Linked DNA regions of Danio rerio. Each later gene encodes a partner of the first gene's protein in a complex. Links are inferred from orthologs where the notes say so. Each region holds a gene or a part of one and is shown in the gene's direction. Other genes may lie near its edges.

What was found.
Region 2: the proteins of si:dkey-16l2.16 (region 1) and rusc2 are in contact, whole or in part, in a crystal structure (PDB 6IF2), measured with the Homo sapiens proteins. The link is inferred for Danio rerio from reciprocal best matches to the Homo sapiens genes RAB35 and RUSC2. Residues at the interface, in NP_006852.1 of Homo sapiens: Asp4, Tyr5, Leu8, Phe9, Lys10, Ser22, Leu26, Asp30, Ile38, Thr40, Val43, Asp44, Phe45, Lys46, Ile47, Lys58, Gln60, Trp62, Thr76, Arg79, Gly80, His82; in NP_001129471.2 of Homo sapiens: Val997, Lys998, Asn1001, Asp1005, Val1008, Thr1013, Arg1015, Lys1020, Glu1119, Glu1155, Leu1158, Leu1159, Gln1161, Pro1162, Leu1165, Leu1166.
Region 3: the proteins of si:dkey-16l2.16 (region 1) and dennd1b are in contact, whole or in part, in a crystal structure (PDB 3TW8), measured with the Homo sapiens proteins. The link is inferred for Danio rerio from reciprocal best matches to the Homo sapiens genes RAB35 and DENND1B. Residues at the interface, in NP_006852.1 of Homo sapiens: Lys10, Leu12, Ser17, Ser36, Tyr37, Ile38, Thr39, Thr40, Ile41, Gly42, Val43, Asp44, Phe45, Gln60, Trp62, Thr64, Ala65, Gly66, Arg69, Phe70, Arg71, Thr72, Ile73, Thr74, Ser75, Thr76, Tyr77, Arg79, Gly80, Thr81; in NP_001182144.1 of Homo sapiens: Met1, Arg4, Glu43, Ser47, Phe51, Val72, Leu73, Thr74, Asp75, Ile76, Glu77, Ser78, His211, Glu212, Arg213, Arg214, Gln242, His243, Ile244, Ile246, Leu249, His252, Leu253, Asp255, Tyr256, Cys258, Ala259, Pro260, Met261, Pro262.

Annotation. Positions count from the first base shown.
Region 1 is NC_133178.1:31,480,769-31,483,136, forward strand, and holds the end of si:dkey-16l2.16 (ras-related protein Rab-35), read left to right. Parts: coding exon 1-100; intron 101-1,257; coding exon 1,258-1,407; 3' UTR 1,408-1,789; downstream 1,790-2,368. UniProt on the Homo sapiens protein: The small GTPases Rab are key regulators of intracellular membrane trafficking, from the formation of transport vesicles to their fusion with membranes.
Region 2 is NC_133180.1:20,051,966-20,054,409, forward strand, and holds part of rusc2 (AP-4 complex accessory subunit RUSC2), read left to right. Parts: coding exon 1-711; intron 712-1,237; coding exon 1,238-1,414; intron 1,415-1,667; coding exon 1,668-1,851; 3' UTR 1,852-2,444. UniProt on the Homo sapiens protein: Associates with the adapter-like complex 4 (AP-4) and may therefore play a role in vesicular trafficking of proteins at the trans-Golgi network.
Region 3 is NC_133197.1:23,103,522-23,107,909, forward strand, and holds the start of dennd1b (DENN domain-containing protein 1B), read left to right. Parts: upstream 1-1,442; 5' UTR 1,443-1,636; coding exon 1,637-1,653; intron 1,654-2,223; coding exon 2,224-2,288; intron 2,289-4,388. UniProt on the Homo sapiens protein: Guanine nucleotide exchange factor (GEF) for RAB35 that acts as a regulator of T-cell receptor (TCR) internalization in TH2 cells. Acts by promoting the exchange of GDP to GTP, converting inactive GDP-bound RAB35 into its active GTP-bound form.

The DNA of each region.
Region 1 (2,368 bases):
AAAAAAACTTGTGGACACCCAGGATGCTATGCGCTTTGGAGAGTCAGTTGGCGTGAGGTTGTTTGAAACTAGTGCTAAAGAGAACATCAATGTAGAAGAGGTTTGGTTTTATTTGTAAATTCATTCATTTTTCTCAAAAATACTTCAACTTTTTAGATTTTATTGAAGTCCTGTGTTTACATTTTATCCATAAAAGCTCTAATTCATTTAATTTTTGCAACACTAAAAGTGCTCCTACTATGCTATTTTAAGGTTTCTTCTACAGTTAGTCCAAAGTTAAAAAAAAACTTTTCAATATCCTTTTATAATATTCATTGCAGCATCACCTTTTTCTTTCAAAGTTTCTGAAATGATTAATTCAAGGATCTGACCTCTTATAAACTCCTTTTGAAGAGGCTATCCTGGTTTGATTGGTCAAATGTTGCGGTTGTGATCGGTATACCATTTAGGGCGCAGGTCCACAAAGCATTTTTTTTTTCTTGAGCTGAGCATTTTGTTCTGTTGTTGTCAGTGGAAGGGTCACATTTTTGCCATAGGCGTAGCAAGAGCATTCTGGAATTTTTTCACAAATTATTTTTATTTTCTGACAGTTGGGAAAGTGCTCTCAGCTGAGCGTTTTTGGAACAGTGCTGCTGTTTTTAGCTAGCAAAAAAAAGCTTTGGTGACTCTTACAGCAAGTGTCAAAACATAACGTCATTACCATGTTCAACTTTCAGCTTTTTCAGCAGTTGGTTTTACCTTGTCAGTTTTCGTGTGAATGCTTTTACTTTTGAAAAATGATTTTGCTCTTCTAACATGTCAGTAACACAAGTCAGACTCCAAACTTGTAGGACTCAGCTACCAGTTCTCTGGTCTTGCAAGCTACAAATCAAGTCTACAGGCTGAAATCATGCAAATTTGTTACTGACAGTTCGTTTCAGGCTTGTCAGAATCTGTAGTTTCTTATTAGGGACAATAATTGAATTTATTACTTTAATATTCAAAAGATTTTTAAATCTCACAAATGCAATATTAAACATTAAATAGACGAATGATAAATTCAAAAAGCATGAAAAGGAGCACTTTTAGTTTAAAGTCAAGTGAATAAAATTTTTTTTTTTTTAATATGTTACTGACATAAATTTTATTGTGATTATTAGATATAATACCGCTTATCAGCTCAGCTCTACTACGTATAAAGTATTTAGGCTTTTCGGAATATACATGTTTCTTTTGTCCACTTGCATTAAAGTACTTCATAATGTTTGTGATTTTCAGATGTTCATGGCTTTTACCCACATGGTCCTTCGGGCCAAGAAACAGAGCCAGAGTCGAGCAGAAAGAGAGCGGGAGAGAGAAAAGGACACTGTCCATATCAATTCCCACAGGGACAGAGAGAGGAGGAAGAAGGGGAAGAAATGCTGTTAGAGCAGAGGTGTTGGAGGAAATATGGACAAATGGATCACCTTTGCAAGTTTTCAGTTGAGAAATGTGACTTTTTATGTTAACACTGCGATTAGATGAACCCAGGAGGATTTAAAATAATTTGCTATTATGTGCCGAATATCAGCATTTGTTTACATGTTGTTTGTTTATCAGTGTTTTGTCTGTGTGCGCGTGTATTTTTTTAAGGAAAGGTGATTTGATTGGCATGGATTTACACTGGCAATAAAAAGCCTGGTCCAGCAAACACGCTATTTGAAGCTGTCTGATGTGTTCCACTGTTATCAAGATTTTTAATGATGGATTAAAATGACTATCAATAATGTATGCAAATAACAAATTAGCAATAAAATTTGATTAAAAAATGTCCAAATGAGGCATCTTTATATTTAATATGAAATATTTTGCATTTCCATCACAAGAATTCCTGTTTCCTTTATTATGTTTTTACAGAGGGCATTTGCGGTATTTTAGCTCTCCATAATTCTGAAAATTCTTGTACAGACCCGTACCCTGGGGTGTATTTGGTAGATTGAAAGAAAGTTAATTTTAATACTAATTTGGCTTTTGTTGTTTTCTATGACTTTTCAAATTTACTATTTTACAAGAGACACTACAAAAATAGACATTAATGTATTCTAATGACATGTGATGTAATGCATTTGTATATAAAATAAAATAAATTTCGATCCGGTGGTGCACCATTTCTTTCAAGGAAATGGATGCAGAAAGGCAATTATTTGCTAAAAGATATTTTTGGTTCTAATGGCATATTAAGTTTTCAAGAACTAAGTGAGCGGTAAAAAACTGAACCTTCTCTCATTTTATATTTGCAATTAAGATCGGCCATGAAGGCCTATGGGGTTCCCTGAGGGGACAATCTTCCATCTTATCCAATCATTGCTTTGTTTGATCAGTCCTCTTCTAATAATTTTGGCTCATGGAT
Region 2 (2,444 bases), on another chromosome or scaffold:
AGAATGGCAGAGGAGTGTGGGAGCAGAACGTGAGTTTCGGAATAAGGAGGATGGAGTTGGTAAAGAGTGCTTGCGAAAGAGTGACACAGGACAGATGCAAGGTGGAGGGTGCTGTGCTGCCAGAATGAAGGGAGTTGGAGAAGACAATGAGAAGGACAAAAAGAGAGAAAAAGATGGAGATGCAACCAAACAGAGAAACCGACAAGCTGGCTGGTGGTATCAGTTGATGCAAAGCTCACAGGTTTACATTGACAACTCTGCCGAGGGGTCGAAATTTGTCAAGTGGGAGAAGAGGAGGAAAGGAGGGGTTGAGAATCACCGTCAAAGCCATCCACCTCCTAGAGAAGGTGTTGTTGAAGGAGCTGAGGCCATTCAGCAGATGGATGAACAGGTGGAACACGGTCGGACCAGTAGTAGCAATATTAATAGCATTGGCCGTGGGGTTCTAAACCAATCAGCTTTGTCAGAACCCACCAAAGCCACAAAAGCGAAGCCATCTTGGATGGGAAGTCCACCGGAGTCAGTGCTCACTGAGCTGAAAAAGAGTAAGGAGAAGCAGCCAGATTGCCAGGATCCGAATGAAGGGCTTCAGGCCCAGCCAGAAGCAGAGGAGGATGGAACGGCTCAAGTGCTCCGCTGGGGACGACTATTTGGAGCTGGAAATGCAAGCAAGAAAGAAAAGATTGAACAGAAATCAGTCAGGAAACAAAGGTAACTCATCCCTTTTCAATGGAGAATAATCAGCTTTTCATCAGCTATAGCTTCTTATACCAATAAAAATAAATATAACAATATTGGTGTGAACACCAACAAGCAATGATGCTACTGTTCCATCAGTATTGTTCCTCTGGGCTGTTTTTATAGATATCACATTAGATCCGGGGTGTCCACACTCAGTCCTGGAGGGCCGGTGTCCTGCATATTTTAGTTTCAACCCCAATTAAATACACCTAAACCAGCTAATCAAGCTCTTTCTTGGTATACTAGAAACTTCCAGGGAGGCATGTTAACGGAAGTTGGAGCTAAATTATGCAGCACTTTGGCCCTCCATGACCAAGTTTGGACACCCCTGCATAAGATACTTAATTAGTTTACATTAGTAGTTTGTATATTCATTCGTTTTTCTAGCCAAATGTTAGATATTTTAGAATGAGTAGATTTTACACATTGACCCTTTTGGAAAGGCCTTTTTATTATGAATATGTAGCTAACTTTTCCACTCTTGTGTTCCCCTTAGATTGCCTTCAGGTTGGTTGAGTATCGATCATTCTGTGTTGGATCTGGTGGCTCAGTCTGTTGGAGTTCGGAAAAGAGCGGAGCAACAATCTTTTACATCTCAAAGCCAAGAATCCAACCTTGGCCCAACTGAACAAGCACAAACACAGAGTCCCCAAACAAAGACACTAGCCCCACGGTAATGTCATTACACAATACATACGACTAGATTTACTCTTTCAGAAGTAAACCAGTGCTTTCAAGGCGGTTCAGAAGCTAAATCCTAACAAACTGTAGGAGGTTGATTAATATTAGTCTAGCGCTGCCTTGCAAATCTCTGTAATTGTGTAATTTAATTAGTGTTAAATGTCAAGTGCTACCATACATAACTAATTCTCTCAATTTCTTTCCCTTTGCTGTCTATATTTCCCTCTTCTTTCCATCTCTTCCAGGGAAGTGAAGGCGTTATGCCATCATATTGCCACAGAGCCAGGGCAGCTCAGTTTCAACAAAGGTGACGTGCTGCAGGTGCTCAGCAGGGCAGACTCTGATTGGCTGATGTGTGCTCTGGGCGATAGCCAGGGCCTTGTTCCCATCATATACGTCACCCTGATTGAAGACAGTCAGGAGCGTTGAAACTCAAGGGCCCCAATACAAACTGCAGTGGGATGCATTGGGGAATAAAGCGAAGGGTGCCAGTTTTTGGAATATAGAAGCTGCTGCACAAGAGATGAGTCTGACAGATTCATTTTGTGCTCGCATCTGTATGTAAACACCAACACACCACTACTTACACACAAACACCACACTTTGCTGTTGTGAAAGCACCCTGTTTGTTTCAGTGAACAGCAATGAGCCAACCAGTGAATAGAAAGTGTAGATCTAGTTACCGAGTAGTGAAATCGTTTGCAACGAGCCATCAGGTTTTGCAATTTAGCTTGTAATCATAAATGTCAATAGCCTTTTAAAAAGAACTAAAAACCAAATGAAGTTAGATGACACCACGGGCACATATGCCTTGTCTTTATTAAATACTGTATGATTTTATGTAATCTAGATGTTAACCAATTCAATGTGTTGCGACCAACAGTGTGTGCATGTGCTCTTTAGAGGCCGTGCGTAACCCCGGTGGTCATTTGTGAACATCTCGTTCTCACAACATGAAGCTGAATAGTACATCACTGAATAACAGACGCATCTGTTTTTAAGTCTACATAACGCAAAGATTG
Region 3 (4,388 bases), on another chromosome or scaffold:
ATGATACATAGTACAGTCCATGAATGTCAATGATATTTGTTTTTTGGCCCTTCATAAAAATTTGGCCACCCCTGGTCTTATGCTAACTAATGATAAACTGAAGTCTCATGAAGCAAACGACTGGAGGTTGAGTAACAATTTTGTTTGCATATCAATGGCTGCTGGCTTCCAATATTCTTCTTTTTTTTTTTGACATTTATTTAAAGATTTGCAATGACAGAACAGTGGTATAGGATTACAGATATGTACACAAGTTATAAGTAGGACCAGACAGAATCGGCAGACATTTTTTGCTATTTCCGTGGAATGATTTTGGGAGTATCATAACTAAAAACTTAATATGACATAAAAATAATACCTTTTTAACTTTTATTGCATGTTTACAATGCAAATCCAATTAACTCTACTTTTTTTTTTGGTAAACAAAGCAAGTCTCTCATATAATATCTCTACTAAAAGAGGAAATATTACTTCACAAACTGTATTTTAAATAAATCGTAACATTAACAAGTCAATAATATTACTGTAATTAATATGAAAAGTGAATAAATATAATTTTACACACATTTACACAAAATAAAAATAAATAAATATATCCAATGATAGGCTAAAAATTTGCGTTAATTTATGGATTTCTTTATGGACAGATTCTGTGTGGATATAAGTCAGTTTTTCTAAGGGTAAGAAAATGGTTCGATGATCTATCCCAGGGATGGCCAACCCTGTTCCTGGAGAGCCACCTTCCTGCAGATTTCAGTAACCCATATCAAACACACCTGAACCAATTAATTAGGACCTGAACACCACGTGATAATTACAGGCAGGTGTGTTTGATATGGTTTGCAACTGAAATCTGCAGTAAGGTGGCTCTCCAGGAACAGGGTTGGCCACCCCTGATCTATCCACATAGTGACCGAATGAATGTTAGGAGATAACAACATAAGAATACATTTTTCTTGCTAGATACATACAATGGTGTAACAAAGATTCTAGTCCATGACTGGTGTGTAGCAGTTTTACAATTCAGAAGATAAATAGCTGGAGATAGACAAAAGGGCTACCAATAATCTTTTGAACTAATTTGTGCATTTGTTTCCAGTATGTCTTAACCAATATTATTTTAAATAACTTATTTATAAATTTCATATAAATAAATAAAAAAGGAAACGTATTCACTTGAGGGTCAGTAAATTGATGACAGAATGGGTGAACTATCCCTTTAAGGACTACAAGGCTCAGTCACCATTCACTTCCATTGCCTTTTATTTCCTGTGAATGGAGTCATTTCATTTTTTCTTCTTACAAACACACACAGACACTAACTTATACTGTTTTTAAACTACAGCATAACGAATTTTTAGACTCATCATTACTGTTGCACTCACAACATACGCACGCGCACAGTCAGGTGCTTCCTGGTGCTTCATTGCAGGATCACAGTCAGTCAGGGGAACCGAAACGGTCAGTGAACGCGTCCAGGAAGCGCCACCGGCAGGCGACAGACCGAGAAATGCGGCAGTATCCGCGACTCTCCGTCAGGTAGCCGTGAAAACCAGAAGCGCGTGGCTCCGGTGTCGCGACGGTGTTTTAGTTTCCCGCCGTCGGCGCGAGCAGCTGCTGACGCGATGCTTTAGCCATGGACAGCAGGATAAAGTAAGTCGACACTTGTTTACCTTTCGCATTCCTCTGCTTTGTGTTATCAGTCTCCGTTATAAAAGTCTTTCATTCGGTTGAAATAAACACAGCGGCTGCGGCGTATCCGTTAGTTAGCCAATTTGGCTAATGAGAAGAGATGACAGGTCCAGCTGACCGGTTAGCTGTTTACCTCAGACATGCTAACTAGCCTAGCCGCATTCCTCTACAGCCATTTAAACTTGACAGCTGAATATATTTCATTTTTGATGAAGTTGGACGCCTTGATTTAGTGTCTATAGCTTTTAAGTGTACTGTATAGTATGTGTTATGAATTCACAGCAGCAAACTGACTGCATAGCTCAGTGTCTAATGGCATGTCGAGATTTTAAAGAGATAGTTCACACTAAAATAAAAGCATTTTAACGTGTAACTTGTGTTCAGTCTAAGAAGAAACGTTGACAAATGTTCAGTGTTATGGTTATTTTTGTATATTTTAATCAAGTTGGTTTGGAAGGAGAGTGAATGCTTGTCAAATAAATTGTTTTAAAGTTAGTAACGTTAAGTTCAAACTATGTTTTCCTTTTCCAGTGAGAATCCTGCAAGGACTTTTGATTTGGCTCTTCAAGTTGCGTGTCCATCATCTGAAAATGAAGGTGAGCCCCCATTTCTCATAGAGGTAAAGTTGGTTTTATATTTGGATATTCAGACATAATTCTTAATAAAATAATTTTAGAAAAGTATTCTTTGAAAAATTGTAAATAGGGAAAACATATTTGCAGCAAATGACCATCAAAGTACAACATTGTTCACAGTGAATTGGATGGTGTAAATGTTGTTTAGATGTCATGCTTGCATGCTAATTCCGATCGAATTATCAAAGTAACATGGTAAACAATACAGAGACTGCTAAATGAATGAATGTGCGAATAAAAAACCAACTTTACCTCTTTCCATTGCTCAATTTGGTTAAGTTTTGCATATGCAAGTGTCTGTTCAAGTGTCTGACTTTTTTCATCAAAACACACTAGCAATTATGTGAGGGTTGAGCCTCTCTTTTAAAGCACTAATTCCCTTGCTGTCAGACTTTAAAATGACATTAAAGACAATGTTTACGTCGGCATATGTAACACTACTCATAAGTTATAAGTGATAATATGAGACGTTTTTATTGTGCAAAGTACATGACTGACATTGTAATCAAAAGTAACTTTATAGAATTGATGTAAAATATAGATCAGGGTGGCTGATGTTTGATATTATGACAAATTGCATTATGTAATCTAGAATTGCTGCTTAAATAAAACTACACGGTTTAATACACAAATTTAAGTGTGTGTCGTGATAGCTATCTAACTTTGTACCATTTGAAATCCTGTATTGTGAAACCTAGACAGCTTTTATATATGGCTCTTATTTTTGGCTGATATGCTGAGCTGTTTTCCGTGCTTGAAATGGATGAGTAAATGATGCGTTTTGTGTCTGGGGGATTCACGGGAAGGAAATTATTGCTGTTAGATTCGCAGGGTGGTCAGATTCACTCCTGATGGGCTGACTTGAGTACATTTTCATTTCAGTTCAACCCTCACTTGGCTTGCATTTGCTCTCAGAAACCTGCAGATGCATTTTGGTTGACTTTTTTTTTTTTTTGGTTGATATGCAGTGATATCGATCTTGGTTTGTGAGCACGTTTGTGTGTTTTGAGCTCTGCAAGGATGAATAGAAACCACACAGCTTTAACGGACCAAGTAATGACTGCTGTGCAGTGAAATATGGGAGCTTGTTTTTGTCATGGAATAAAATAAATGAAAAGTTAATTGCCACTATTTATCTCAGAGTTCTGGCCTATTTTTTTCACTTTCAAGTTTATGTCTTTCAAATTCTGCAGTTTTTTTTATTAAGGAATTCAGACGTTTTTTCTAAGAATTTGATTTTTAGCAGTTTATGCCATACAATTCTGAAACTGAGCATAGTTACATGATAAGAGTATACTCAGAACAAGATTTAAAAAAAATAAAAAAGTTTTCTGAACAAAATGAATCACTTCTGGATCTGTGTAAATGACTAAAAATACAGTATTATGCATGCCAGGCCAGTGGGTGGCGATGTCACTTAATTAAGAAATGCTTTATGCCTGTGAACATTTAGTCTTGTGTTCTGATGTTGTTGTTTTGGCTGTCATATACTTGTTCATGTCTACTGAAAGCATATTAAACATAAATGTGTGACCTCATCCTAAAACATGACGTCATTTTTTTTGTAGTTTAGAAATTATTATAAAACAATTTTTTTCCATATACCTATTTTTATACTCATTTTGGATTTGCGCACAGTTGATGTAAACGGCAAGATTCGCAGATTCGCGTAAGTTTTGAAAATGCACATATAAACCATATGCACATAATCGAGTAGGACAAACATTTTATTTGATAAAAGATGTGCACTACGATGGAAACACTTATTGAACAAATTCCTGTATGCGCATGAAAAAAAAGTAATGTGATTTTGATGTGAGAGACCATGTGATGATAAAGATGCATGTAAGTGGACAAATCAGCAAGCTAAGCACATCGTAAAACATCTGAAATGTTGGTTTGGTCATTCTAAAAATCCCTAACCATTTCAGTATTAGTGTTATTATATTATGAATTACCATCAGAATCAAGAGCATCTGTGCTTCGCATATCACACCTTCAAATGCCACCATGCCTTCATTGCATGTCGGTATCGTCTTCTGATGAGCAAGTCATTTATTA